Linked DNA regions of Pelodiscus sinensis. The protein of the gene in region 1 purifies or fractionates together with the protein of each later gene. This does not show direct contact. Links are inferred from orthologs where the notes say so. Each region holds a gene or a part of one and is shown on either strand. Other genes may lie near its edges.

Evidence for each region. The genes of interacting proteins can lie anywhere in the genome.
Region 2: the proteins of RC3H1 (region 1) and SERBP1 purify together in Homo sapiens (affinity purification with mass spectrometry, with the first as the bait; 3 studies listed by BioGRID). This does not show direct contact. The link is inferred for Pelodiscus sinensis from reciprocal best matches to the Homo sapiens genes RC3H1 and SERBP1.

Annotation. Positions count from the first base shown.
Region 1 is NC_134719.1:62,191,103-62,198,365, reverse strand, and holds the start of RC3H1 (roquin-1), read right to left. Parts: upstream 4,607-7,263; 5' UTR 4,455-4,606; intron 1-4,454. UniProt on the Homo sapiens protein: Post-transcriptional repressor of mRNAs containing a conserved stem loop motif, called constitutive decay element (CDE), which is often located in the 3'-UTR, as in HMGXB3, ICOS, IER3, NFKBID, NFKBIZ, PPP1R10, TNF, TNFRSF4 and in many more mRNAs.
Region 2 is NC_134719.1:19,453,583-19,460,845, forward strand, and holds the start of SERBP1 (SERPINE1 mRNA-binding protein 1), read right to left. Parts: upstream 3,532-7,263; 5' UTR 3,424-3,531; coding exon 3,039-3,423; intron 1-3,038. UniProt on the Homo sapiens protein: Ribosome-binding protein that promotes ribosome hibernation, a process during which ribosomes are stabilized in an inactive state and preserved from proteasomal degradation.

The DNA.
Region 1 (7,263 bases):
TATAATAGGCCATCAACTGCATAAATCCACAGCAACTGCATGCATTGTTGATACTGCTGGAAGAAACCAAAGCTACAGAAGCCTCACTAGTACCAATGAAGTCCATTAAATTAAGTTCCAGAAACAAATGCAATTTGCTTTCCTCGTCATCTGTCTCCACTGAGAGGGGATGATTGCAAGGTCTACCTATTTTTTCAGGCTTTTCTTGAACATGGCTTGAAAGGGCGGAAGACTAAAAATATTTTTACAGAAGGAGTTGTTGATTAACGTTAGTTCACTTGCTGAATTTCGTGTAATTATTTTACATGTACCCAGCCATCACATCAGTGTTTTTGTAAAATAAAAAAAAATTAAAAAATCAAGATGTATGCATCTCCATTCAGGATTTGAACATATTTGTGTGACCAATGGCAAAGCTGAGGAAAAAATTTCTGGTTCAATACACTGTCCAGCAAACTCCAAGCAGCGCATGAGGCCTTGTGGGGCAAGGGAAAAACCACAAGGATTATATTCTTATTTCTCCCTCTTCTACTTTGTAGCTACTTGAACTCATTGTGCAATTGATTTCAGTGATGATCAGAAAGAAAGGTCAAGATTTAACAACAAGTTTGGTTAAACACGCAAGGGAGCTTTTGGGTGCTTACTACTTTTGGAAAATCAGGCCACATATTTGCGAGCCCAACTTTTAAGACTTAAATCTTTAAAAAATGAGTGCCTACTCTTCATAGCATTTGAAGCCCACATTTCCAAACTTTTCAAAGATTGTAAATAATCATTATAATACCACCTAATTCTTATGCTGTTTACTGATGGAGAGCGCTATAAAGAGTTTTACAAAAGTAGTAAGTATCATTATCTCCATTTTGCACTTAAGACATTTAAAGCATTGGCTTGCAGTCAGTTGTTTTCTAGATATCAGACATTACAATCATTTTGGAATTCATGTGGGAAAAGAAATATGATAATCAAGACAACATGCATGGCTGACAAACCACAAAAAATTCCCAGTTTTCTAAAGGCATGCAATGCAGCACACCTTTTTCGCAACAGTGAGTCATGAGATAATGAACCTTACCACCATTAATTTGTTAAACTAGCAATGCTTCTCTTGGGCACTCGTCCAGTATCATATACGTAGGATTTGATTTAAATCAGCCATTGTTAAACATCTATTTCACCTGACACAGAAATCAACAAAATAATATCTCTCTATAATAGTCAGCAAGTACAGCTTCCTCCACAGCCAATACCTGCAGGGATCTGGTGTCACCAGACTGATGGCCACAAAGGGCACACTCTGCAGCCCCACTGTCACCTCTGGCTCACTCATTCACAGCCAGATGTAAAGGAGCCACCCCCAAGCAAAAGTCATCCATCAGTGGAATGGCCTCCTCTATGGTTAGGAGCCCACCCTCCTCCTTAGGATGGACCACAGCCCAGCTGTCAGTGCAAACCTAACACGAACTCCCTTAATGTTCTGCAATGGTTAAAATGAAAAGATTCAAAATAGAAAGTGCTTAAAAACAAAATCAAACACAATTACAGAAACTAATATTCTGGCAAGTCTATGTCTATACCAAGTCCCAAACTAGTGACATTTTCAATCCTTGCCACCATTTTCAGATTCCTTCCAAATATTCAGATAAATAAGAAAGCAATTCATTCAAAATTTTGGACGTATCTATTTCCTGAATTCAGAACTACTATAGAGTTCCAGACTGCCAGCATTTGTGACAGTCTTTATCTAGATAGCTGGTAGGTCACAGGCAACATGAGTTCAAGCTTCTCCAAATGGTCTCAGCAACATTTGTTCAAAACTGCCATCTTTAAATAATTTATGTCTTCAGCGTTTAACTCTGTTAAGCCTTTCAGTTAGCAAGAGTGGTGCTGGTCAGTGTCATGCAGACACTTACGCTTTGGGAAGCAGGCTGAAGCCATCATTATGGTCAGGTCTACACTACAGATCTAAATCACTAACTACATTGCTCAGGAGTGCAAAACATCCATAGCTCTGAGTGACAGAATTAGAGAGACCTAACTCCCACGTAGACAGAGCTGTGTCCATGAGAGCTCTTCTCATACTGATGAGATGATGCTACACTGGTGCAGCTGCGCCAATTAGAGATGTAAGTGACTAGTCAACCACCCGATAAGCAAATGCTTATCGAGTAGGAACTCGATTAGTTGCTCCCCCCACTCTTGCTGCCTCTATCAGTGAGAGGCAGCAGGGAGGGGAAGGAAAGCACGTGCCCGTTCCGGGGGGAGCCAGCTTAAAAATGGTTCCCCACGCACCATCTCCACAGGGGGCAGGGGAGGCAGAGGGCATCCGGGAAACAGCCTGAGCAGGAATTGAAATAGTCCCATGTACAGTCTGACTGCTGATTCTCTCCCTTTGAAATATACAAGAGCTGCATCCAGCTCTTGTACACTTCAAAGGAAGAGGCACGGAAGGGAACCCTCACCAGCCGGGGACCTTTCCCTTTTAAATGTACATAAGCCGCTGTGGTTCTTGTACATTTCAAAGGGAGAGGCACAAAAAGATAAGAGAGCATCCCCCTTATTGACAAATCAAGTAGTCAGTGGAAATTCCATCGACTACTCAATTAGCTAATTAATCAAATTTAACATCCCTAACGCCAATGCAATATTTTACATGCAGATCTCCCCTTTGTTTCATGGAACAGACATCAGTTCAGACCAATGTCAAACCAAAAATATAGTATCTTGTTTTAAATTAAGTGTTTTTTGGTAGAAAAACCAAGCGATTTCCTCCTTGTCTCCATGATTGTTAATGCTGCTCAAAGGTGTTTTATGGACAGCCATGGAAATCAGAAACTATCAAACAAGTGCAAGTGTCCCTCAAAATAGCCAGCTTAAAGCATCTGCTCTGCAGGAGCCCTTTGCAGGGCAGGAATAATAGGCTGAAAATTTCAGGAAATTCCCTTTGGTGCACCCAGCTCTTATTAACTTTAATAGAAACTATATGTTCACCTCAATTATTGATGTAAACTACCACGTTTATGGATTGACAATTTTTATGCCAATTTCTCTATGTGACAAAGAAGTGGACCGCAGTCCTGCCAGCACTCAAGCATGTGCAAAAAGTGTATTCATGTGTGTGTGTGTGTGTGTCTCAATGAGGTCAGTGAAACAATTAAGTAGATACCAGTGAAAATATTAAGTAGTACATAAGAATGGGCAGGAGGGCCTAAAATAAAATAAATCGATGTCTGAAGAGGAGAAAAAAAGTTTAGTGGAAAAAGGTAATACTTCTACATACCACAGATACTAGGCATCACTATAGTATAAATGTAGAAATAATCCAACTGTCATTTTACAATACAGTGATCAAAGAGGAGTCACTAGAAGACTTAGTGGTGAAAAAGTAGCACTGTCATGGACAGGAGTGAACCAACTTTTTTAACATAAATTGCAAAAATGAGTTTAATAGTTTGGCCAATTTTCAGTTTATCAGAATACTGAAAGCTCCTTTCTAGTTGATAAAATGTCACCAATACAATTTTTCCATAATGAGAAACAACACAAGTTTTAAAACAACAGCTCAGGAGAAAGAAGTGTATGTGTGTGTGTGTGGGGGGGGGGGGGGGGGGCAGGAGAATGATTTAATGAAATACCATTTTACACAAGAAATATCAGTTTTCCTATCTGTGGGCTCTCAAAATGGCACAGATCTCACTCAATATGGCCCCTGAAGACAAAACATCATTTCTGGGTATTCCCCCCAACCAATACAGAAGGGTAGCTACTCAGAGCTCTGTTTCCTGGCAGGAAATCCTTGCCCCATCTTTTAACTCAGTGAGAAACAAAGACAAAAACACTTTCAAGTTCGGTCGCTCTTTTTAGGCTTCCACTTCCCCGATGCCTGTCAATGTCCAGGCCCGCACAGAAAACGCGGGGCAGCTCACCCTGAATGTCCCCTACAACTTTGAGAGGCGCCCAAACGGGGTGAGCCAGGGCCGGGGGGAGGCAGAGAGAGAGGGGGCCTGTGTGTGTCTATACAGGTCTGAAACAAAGCCTCCGACGTGTGCCACATCTGCTCTGCAAATCCACAGCGTGTGGAGGCGGAACCCCCTCGAGGGCAGGGACCCCAACTTCCCATCTGCTCGGCGAGGCTTGCCCCGCCTCATCAGCAGGAGCGGGGGATAGAGTCTCCCTCAGGCCTCACTCTCCCCCCCGAAGAGGCACCCGCTGCCCCCACCCCAAAGGGGCCCGAGCCCCTGGGACTCCCACCCCCTTCCCGAGGCCACGGAAGCCTCCCCCTTCCGGCGCCCCGCTCCACCGCGCCTCGGAGACGGGGCACTTCGGAAACGGAGCCTGAGGCCTAGCGAGGCAGGGACACAGGCCGGAGCGCCCCGAGCCAGCCCGCGGCCCCGCCGGGCCAGGCCCCCTCCGCCCCATTGTTCCCCGCCGCCGAGCGCGGGGCCCGGACTCACCGCACGGCTGAGCTCCCCGCAGCAGCGACTTTCAGCTCCGGGACGCGGGGCTGGCCGCAGCCTCCAGCGCCGGCAGCAGCAGGGGCCGCCCGGCCGCCGCCGCCTCCTCCCCACGACCCGCTGCTGCTGCCGCCTCTGCAGCAGGGGCCATCTTGTGCGTCTGCCGCCTCCCCCCCGGGACCGCTCCTCCCTCCCCGGCCCGGCCTCGAGCCTCTTCCCCTTTCTCCTGCCTCCTCTTCCTGCCGCGCCGGGGCAGGGGCGAGCGGAGTCCCTGGCGGGGGGAGCGACCCCGCTACTGGGCTCCCCCCTCAGCCGCCCTTCTGGAGCAAGCTCACTGCCGCCGCGTCCCCCCCGCAACAACAGCCAGGCCCTTTCTGAGAAGGGGACAAGCAGGTGAAACCGCCTGGCTCCTCCTCTTGCCACACTCCCACCCCCGTCTTTCCGAAGGGGGAGGGAGACGAATGGGTGCTCCCCCACAAAGCTTCCTCCCTCCCAAACGTCACCCACGTTTCTGGGCGAGGGGTGGAGAAAGATGAATGGCTCCCCCCTTTCCCTCGAAGGGAGCCTTCCATAATTGGAGGCATCAGCTGTTGGTGTTGCAAGGCCGGTGCATGCCAAGTGTCCCAGCTTCGGAGAGGCAAGTCCTTGGTTTCCTTAAGTTGTGACACTTTTCATACAGCTGTTACCATCGTTTAGAACAAAGGTAAGAGATTTCTGGGTCCTCCTGTCCCCACCCAAGGATTTGTCAAATGATACCTGGCACAGCAAGCCTGTGACTATTTGGGGATTTTAAACGACTTTCCAAGCATTAAGGAAGCCTCACTGCATTAATTAGTTAGTGTGTCCAGAGTTCAGGAGATTTAGAATGCTTAGTGAAAGCTAAATATTATTGTTAACACCTCTGTTTTACAGATGCATAAACTGAGATGCAGAGGTTGTCACTTGTTCAAGGTCATACTAGCCATAGAAACCAATAGTCCTGGCTGCCCAGTCTTGCGCTATAAATACTGGACCCCTGGTGTCCAACCAGTTCTGAAGCAGTAACCACTATAGTGACTACTGCTGTAGCAAACTAGCCACACTCAATATGCCAAATAGCCACATTATACAAGCCAAATAGCCGCTAGTGTGTTGGACACCACAGTAAACTAAACAAAACTGGGATTCAGTCCTGCAACTGGCTCTGTGTGATCAGACCCCAGTGCCCATATGAGTCCCGCTGCCTTCTCTGGGGTCTGCAAAGCGAGTGGAAGGATCAGTACCTTGTACTACTATATCGTTTCACTCTATCCTTTTGGAAGGTTAATTGACTCACAATGTATTTTTAAAAGGGGTTTAAAACAGATCTTTATCCCTCCCCTTCTACAAACTGCTTTCTTACACTGGTGCTTTAGAACTATTATTTATATTATACCACTCCAGGACCAGAACTCTATAGTGGCAGACTCATAAGAACATAAGAACGGCCGTACTGGGTCAGACCAAAGGTCCGTCTAGCCCAGCATCCTGCCTGCCAACAGTGGCCAGCACCAGGTGCCCCAGAGAGGGTGGACCGAAGACAATGATCAAGCGATTTGTCTCCTGCCATCCCTCTCCAGCCTCTGACAAACAGAGGCCAAGGACACCATTTTATCCCCTGCCTAATAGACTTTTATGGACCTAACCTCCATGAAATTATCTAGCTTCTCTTTAAACTCTATTATAGTCCTAGCCTTCACAGCCTCCTCTGGCAAGGAGTTCCACAGGTTGACTACACGCTGTGTGAAGAAGAACTTTCTTTTATTAGTTTTAAACCTGCTCCCCATTAATTTCATTTGGTGTCCTCTAGTTCTTCTATTTAGGGAGCTAATAAATAACTTTTCTTTATCGGCCCTCTCCCCACCACTCATGATTTTATATACCTCTATCATATCTCCCCTCAGTCTCTTCTTTTCTAAACTGAAAAGTCCCAGTCGCTTTAACCTCTCCTCATATGGGACCCGTTCCAAACCCCTAATCATTTTAGTTGCCCTTTTCTGAACCCTTTCCAAGGCCAAAATATCTCTGCATAAATAGAACAAAAAGCCATTTTTCCCTCTAAAGAGCTTACAGTCTAAATATAAGACAAAAGACACAGTTCAAGGAATGCTAATAATTAGGCTAGGAAAGATTAGTTTTCTTTAATTAGTAAATAACACTTTCAGAGACTCTGACAGAAATATTTCCATCAATAACATTCAGAATTTACAGATACTAGGTAAGGTAAGAAAATGTTGCTTGAGAGCTTAGCATTTCTTTCAAGGATAATTACATTGTATATTTTGACATGCATTGTTGAAAAATTGTTTTTAATGGTTATTAAGCTTTAACCTCACTGTCTACGGTCATTACATTATACGATCCCCTTATAATTTCTCACAATTATGAATTTAAAATGATGCAAGTTTTTTTTAAAAGCCATACTTTTTTGCAACTGTGAAAATGTACATCAATCAATCAGTTGTAAACAAAATGCCAAACCAACTCACAATGCAGCTTTTTCTTGTCAGTGTCAAATATGATCTGACTGGTCAGCTGCTGTCTGACTTCCGGGAAGGCACCCAGACCTATAAAGTATAGATAGCTATGGGTGCATATTGGTAATTGCCTGCAAGGCACTGCAAGAAGTAAAAATGCTCCTGCAGGGTCCTGAGTTAGTAGGGAGAAATGCAGAGAGGAGACTAGAGCGAGCATTTGGTCTTCTCTACAGGGCTGCCCCCCAAATAGTGTTTTCCCCCTGCTGACTCAAGGCACTGTAGATGCTTTTTTATTTGTTACATGCATATGCTGA
Region 2 (7,263 bases), about 43 Mb from region 1:
CCACCCCCCCTTGCTGCCTCTGATACAGAGGTATCAATGGGTGGGGGGAAATGCAAGTAGTCAATAATATTAACCAATAAACCCCAGCTTATTGGTTAATCGGATAGTTGGCTACTCATTGACATCCCTAATTAAACTAAAACAAAACATTTGTGTTCTACAGAAAATTAGGGATGCTCACACACCTGAGTGAATTTTCCCTTATTACAATGTGCAAAGTTTAAAACTTCACTTATCTTTATCATTCTAGTGAATGGACTTACCACTACTAGATTTCTACTACGAAACCCTGAAATACTAAGCTATTTCTTTCCATCTGGAAACTGTTCATTGGAACAAACGAACAAAAAAGCCCTTATGATAGTTATCTCAAAGGTCAAAATATTACTACTCTGTAGCTTTACTCAGAAGTATTACCCACAGTTAAAAGTGTATTTCATGCAGAAAGACAGAGAAAGTTTATGTTGTCTGGTTTTTCAAAAAAGCTATTAGATTAGTAATCATCAGTTGGTATATTCTGAACATGTTATTCCTCTGCTCAGGAAAAAAATCCAACTACAAACTTTGTTGTGCAAAATATTCATAGGTCCATTAAGATAATAAAAAATGTCTCAATTTCTCTTAAAGGCTTTACTTAGTACTTTGTTAAAGCGACCAATATTTGGTTAAACCTAGTCTTGCTCTTACCAAAAGTCCTCTTTCTCCCCCTCTCCCCAAAAAACACTGACATTATTGTTCTAACTATTGTTCATGCCTGTTAGAAGCTGAGAGTGGGTAGGGAGGGTAGCTATCACTTGATAATTGCCTGTTCTGCTGATTCCCTCTATGGCAGTGTTTCTCAACCAGTGGTATGAGTACCCTTAGGGGTACTCAAGAAAAGTCTGAGGAATACATCATTACAACTGAAATTTGGAGAAAACTAAATTTTTGTTTTAAGTTTTACAGCACTATTATTTTTGTACTTTTTACACCAAAAAAATTAATTGCTCACCTGGCTACATTTAAGTTGTTTAAACAAATGTGTTGCAATGGTAGAAAAAAATTGTGTGTCTGAAATCTCTAGGTACTGGGGTACTTAAAAAAAAGTTATAAGGAGGGTACTTTATAAAAAAAAAAAAAACCTTGACACACACTGCTGTAGGGCACCTGGCATTGGCCACTGTCAGAACAAAGAATACTGGGCTAGATGGATTTTTGTATGGCCATTCTTATTGCAGTGTACTTTCTCTCTCTAAAAGAAATGCAATGTATCGATCTTTAGTACTGTAATTATTTTAACTCTTCTTGTTAGCAATATTAAGAGTTTATTGTATTTTGGTTAAATTGTAATTCTTATTAGCTTGCTAAATAGTTCTTTATCCAAATATTACTGAGCACATTCAACACTCAAATTACATGACTATTACAAATTTAGGCCACAATCTTTCAGTCAGGCATGGGCTGAAGTTTGTGTACATAAATAACCCTTAATCACTGGCTTTCTAGGGAACCTCCCTGTGCCTCAGTTTTGCCATCTGTAACATAGGGATTATAATTATTTCCTTTCTAAAGTATTGTAAGAGCTAATGATGAAATGTGTCATCTGTCAATGAATGATAAATTAAGCAAGTGTTTTTGCAGGATCAAGCCATAGAAAAGTAAGTCAAAGACATTTGTTTGGTCACTTTTTTATACCTTCATTTGTTCATAAGAGAAATGAAACTTTATTACAGTCCATAAAAAGGTTTACCATATACACTCAAATAAGTGTAGCTTCAGTAATTACGCATCTGAAAAAACAATGTATTTTATTAATCACAATCCCAATTAATGTCATCCTTAGGGGGAAAAAACAATATTCCAGAATGAATATGAAAGGCTATAAATACTGAAAAGAATCCAGAATAAAACTGATAAATTTACTATTCAATGGACCACATCCTGGGAGATGCAATTTAAGCTTAATATCTGATAAATTCATATTTCCCAAGTGTTCTTTTACTCATGCTTCTCTTATCAGTTAGGTGAGTACCCCAATTCAACAATGAATCTTACAAGAACTGGGTCCAAACATAAAAAATTAAGACAACAGATGCACCACAAATTAAAAAATACCATTTTGAGTCTCTCACCCAGTGGAAGGTGGCAGCACTTAACGAAGTTAAGGGTTGGGGATAGACAACATACTGAAAACGCACATGGCTCAGGTATAACTAGTTCAGCTTTGCTAAACACACACAGGCGACTACTCTGCTTTTTAAAAAAGTGATGCAACTCCCCTTGGAAAAACAGACTCGACTGATAATTTTTCATCCCAACACTTTAAGGGCGCCAGCCCTTCTCGAGGGCTGCCACTCCACCCAGACCTTCGTCCTTAACAGGGTCATCCAGCCATCAAATGTCTTTTTGTACAATTCACCGGGGCCAAAAGTATTGGGTAATATAAAAGCATTAGCAGGCCTCACTCTTCTTCCTAACCCCAGATAGCTGGGTCACCCAGAGCCCCTCTACCCACCTCCAGCAACTAAAATTATTAGAACAGCTTCCATCCGTCCCGCACCCCCACTTAGATGCAGCCCTTCCTTCGCAATAGCCATGTGCGACAGACAGGCCTCACTTCCCCCCACGTGGTAGATGCAGCGGCCCCAGAGCGCGACTATTTCACCCCACCACCCGCAGGGCCAGGTGTTGTCTCTGCGGGGCTCGAGCAGGTGCTGAGACTCTTAGAAACTCCGCAGTTCAGCCTCCGCGGCCAGACCGTGTGTGTGGGGGGGTGAGGGGCTGTCACAGCCCGCGGACGGCAGCTTCTCCCTCGAGGGACGCGCAGCCCGTGGCGCACCCCAGCAGGCCCGAGGGGGTTAAGGACTCTCTGCAGGTTGCTCACTTGAGCCCCCACATCAGGGGTCACAGCCGCCCTCCCCGAGAGGAATAGGCGGGGCTCGAACTCAAGATTCTCCCGCGCCCCGCACCAGGGCCGGGCGCGCTACCGCATGTCTCGTGCCCCACGCTCCGGCGTATTAGCCGCGGGGTCCCCGCCGCCGCCCGCTGACCCCACTCACCTTCCTTCCTGAGCGGCGCGGCGGGCTGCCCGCTGCCCTCCTCCCTGCGGTCGCCGGCGCCCCCGGCCGAGGCGGCGAAGGGGGGCAGCGGGTTCTTGCGCTCTTTCTGCGACTCCCTGCGCAGCTGCTTGGCTGCGCTACTGTTGCCGCCGCCTCCCCCAGTCTGGCCCGGGCCCCCGCTGCCGACCCCGCCAGAGGAGTTAGCCTGGGCCGCCTGCCCGCTGCGGGCCCCGCCGCCGCCCCCCTGGCTGCCGCCGCCGCCGCTCTCCTTCCTCCGGCTCTCGGCCGCCCGCAGCACCTCGAAAGGGTCCGACTCGTCGTCAAAGAGCTGGTCGAACCGGTTGGTGACGACGCAGCCGAACCCTTCTTGCAGGTGTCCGGGCATGATGGGCCCCTCTCGGCGGGATCCTCCTCCGATGCTGCCCAGGCCCCAGCCCCCTGCTCGCGACACCACACAAGATGGCCGGCCCCAAAGAGACCCGCTTCTCTTCCGGCGCCAGGAACAGCCGGGCTTTGCCGCGCGCAAAGCATCGCGGGAGCAGGAGGCCGCCTCCAAGCCACGGGAGCCCCGCGCGGCTGGAGGGGCGGGACTACGATTCCCAGCAGGCCACGCGGCCGAGCGCCGTGTTGGGCCGGAGGAGAACGCGCGCTGGTGTGTGGCGCGAGGAGACCACTGCGGGCGGGGGGAGGGAGCCGAGAGAATGTGAACCAGCCACCTGTCTCGAGTAGGCCTAGTTCCCCCTCCCCCAGGGCACGGCTGCCGTGGCTCCCTAGGCGGGCCCCCACGTGGCCAGGCTGGCCGCCCTCCCGCGCACAGCAGCGGGGCAGGAGGTTGTTGCGGGGGAAACAAGGCCCCGCACGAGCCCAGCCCTTCTGCTGCTGCAGCCCGGGCTGGCGTTGTTCGAAGTGCCCATCACTTTTAAAGGACGTTCCCAGCCGCTGTGTCCGGCCTCAGCAACCCCGTCTAGTCATGCATAGGGCAGCCCGGGCACTCGTACGTTTTATCAGCCGGGGTTTGCTACAGCCAGCTCCCGTCTACCCTGGAAGGGACACTGTCCTCGCCCTGCCTGTATCTAGACCACATGGATCTAGTGATTTCTCTCTCCCCCCCCAACGTATTTTGTTACATTGTAACAAGTAAGATTAATGATTGAGGGGTGGGGTGGAAGGTGGTGTGTTTTACTATGGGCATGATCTGAAAGCATCTGTGGGATAGTTTCAGGGTCTGTTTTCCTCCTGGCTGACGTATGAAAAACACTGAAAAACCCCAGGAAGATCTAACTTTAAAGCCATTTATTTAAATTGATAAATTGTCTTAATTTTACTTTACAGTTTATGCTTTTAGAAATTGTCCAGATATCTCTGCATGGACAATGAATCAGTTTTAATACTTTAGATGTTAATAAAAAGGCTCCACTCCTCTAATGCGCTTTGCACCTATATAAACCCCTACTTAAACTGTGCAACTGTTTGCTCATATGGCTTTGTCTGAAATGCAGATTACATATTTTATGTAGCACGTCTATTAATGATATGGTCTGAGCTATGTTGTTCACTATACCCACCATACTGTGGGTGAAGATACGAAGATCACTGTGATGGCTGCTATCAAACCAGGGATTTCCAGAGCTGAAAGAACCAGTCCTGGCAGCTTGAGCTGTAGATGAGGACTATAACATTGTGTGGGAGTCAGGCCTTTCATAATACATTACACTAGCCATAATCAAAATGTAACCCACTGATCAGTGGGTATCAGAATCAGCTGTTGAAATGGAAAAAATTTATGAATACAAAAATCTACCTTAGAGGGTAACATCAGGGTTGGCAAATCTACAACTAAAACATTTTTGCAAGTTATACCACATTTTAATATATAAAAAGCAGAGTTGCTTGAAAGCTATTGAATATCAAATGCTCTAAAACAAAAAACACAGACTGGCTATGTCTAGACTGGCATGATTTTCCGTTAAAAGCATTTGCGGAAAAGAGTGTCTAGATTGGCACAGACGCTTTTCTGCAAAGACGCTTTTTGCAGAAAAGCATCCATGTGAATCTAGATGCTCTTTTGCGCAAAAAAGCCCTGATTGCCATTTTCACGATCGGGGCTTTTTTGCGCAAAACAAATCTGAGCTGTCTACACTGGTCCTTTTGTGCAAAAGGACTTTTGCCTGAACGGGAGCAGCATGGTATTTCCGCAAGAAGCACTGATTTCTTACATGAGATCGTCAGTGTTCTTGTGGAAATTCAAGCGGCCAGTGTAGACAGCTGGCAAGTTTTTTCGCAAAAGCAATTGCTTTTGCGGAAAAACTTGCCAGTCTAGACACTGCCACTTAATATTAGCATTGCTTAGTCATTGGTGCTTCAGTAATAAACAAGCAATAAACAAAATCCAAATAGTTGTTGAACCTTTCAGTTCCTCATACTGAAGTGAGATTTAAAAAAATAATAATAATAATAATATCCATGTCTGCTACCTACCCAAAGGACCTCATCACAAGCCCAGTATGTACCTTCAGATAAGGGGTCAGTAGACACACATTGCATGAGGATTCCACTGCAAGTCTAGAATCACTTCTGAAATATTCTGCAAGTATCCTTTCAAGGACATTTAATCCTACTTTTAAAAGGAGACAAACTTTTGTAGGGATTATATAAAGGATTACTCAATTTGACCACCCTATATTTACAATTTTCATGTATTTCCTTATAATTACCTGTGTACCAAAACGTTATAAGATTATGTTGACAATCGCAAGGCAAGAAGCACAGAACTATGAGTGACCATATTTTTATATGTTCAGATACTTTTATATGGTATTTTAAAAATCTAATATATTGTCTGGATTCATAGCTATAAGTCTGAAATCGCTTAATTTATTTTTATTTAAGTTCCTAGCACAAATCCTTCAACACATAGCATGCAACCAGAAGTGGTCCTATGTGAGAAAATGTCATTGTAGCGCTCATATCCTTTACTGTTCAAATGCATTTACAAACAGAAATAACCGATTAGCAAATGTCAGGACTTTCATGTATAAAAGAGGAGGAAACAAATGTAGTGTGCTGTGTACTGAATTTAAGATGTCAATTGTCAAATCAAATAGATAACAATAAGAGGAGTCTTATATCATGACGAATATTATTTAGTCATAGTCCCAAAAGTAAGGCAGAAGATCATCTACATGTGAAATGCTGGGTGAATATTTGAATTCCCCCATCACACAAACTCAATTAAAGGGTAAACATGTTCCAGCAAAGTCACTAAAGAAATGTATACCACCCAGGCTGTACAAGATGTATTAACATTGAAATTGATGGACTGGATCAGATCCAAAGTACATCTTGGCTATATCTACACAGCAGTGTATGTCTACACTGACGTTATTCTGAAATAAAGGGTGCGTTTACACAGCAAGCCATTATTTAGAAATAATGGTGAGCTGGAGGACTTCTTACTCCAACTCTTGTAACCCTTACTCCTTCTGTGTCTAGGCTAGCCAAGGTTTTCCCGGAAAATCAGCTGCTTTTCCGGAAAAACTTGCCAGCTGTCTACACTGGCCGCTTGAATTTCCACAAAAGCACTGACTTCCTATTGTAAGAAATCAGTGCTTCTTGCGGAAATACTATTCTGCTCCCGTTCAGGCAAAAGTCCTTTTGCACAAAAGGGCCAGTGTAGACAGCTCAGATTTGTTTTGTGCAAAAAAGCGTCTAGATTGGCACGGACGCTTTTCCGCAAAAAGCACTTTTTGCGGAAAAGCGTCCCTGCCAATCTAGACGCTCTGTTCTGAAAGTGCTTTTAATGGAAAACTTTTCCGTTAAAGCCTTTCCAGAAAATCATGCCAATCTAGATGCAGCCCTTGTGAAATGAGGGAAGTCGAAGGAAGAGCGTTCTTCCTTCGACTTCCTGCTGCGTAGCCAGTTCCAAAAGCCAAATTAAGCTATTTCAACTTCAGCTACATCAGCTCCATAGCTGAAGTTTAATAGCTTGATTTAACTTTTGCCTTGCTGTGTAGACATGCCCCTATAGTCCACTCTCCTGCCTCTGACAACAGTCAGTACCACATGCTTCAGGGGACAATAAGAACCTTGCAGTATGCAGATTATCTGCTCTTAACACTGGTGTCATTCTAATCTGCAGCAGAGACTAGTTTAAACCCTGAAGCATGAGGTGTAACATCTTTCAATTTTTTCATAGTGATTTACATGGATATTAAATATACTCAAT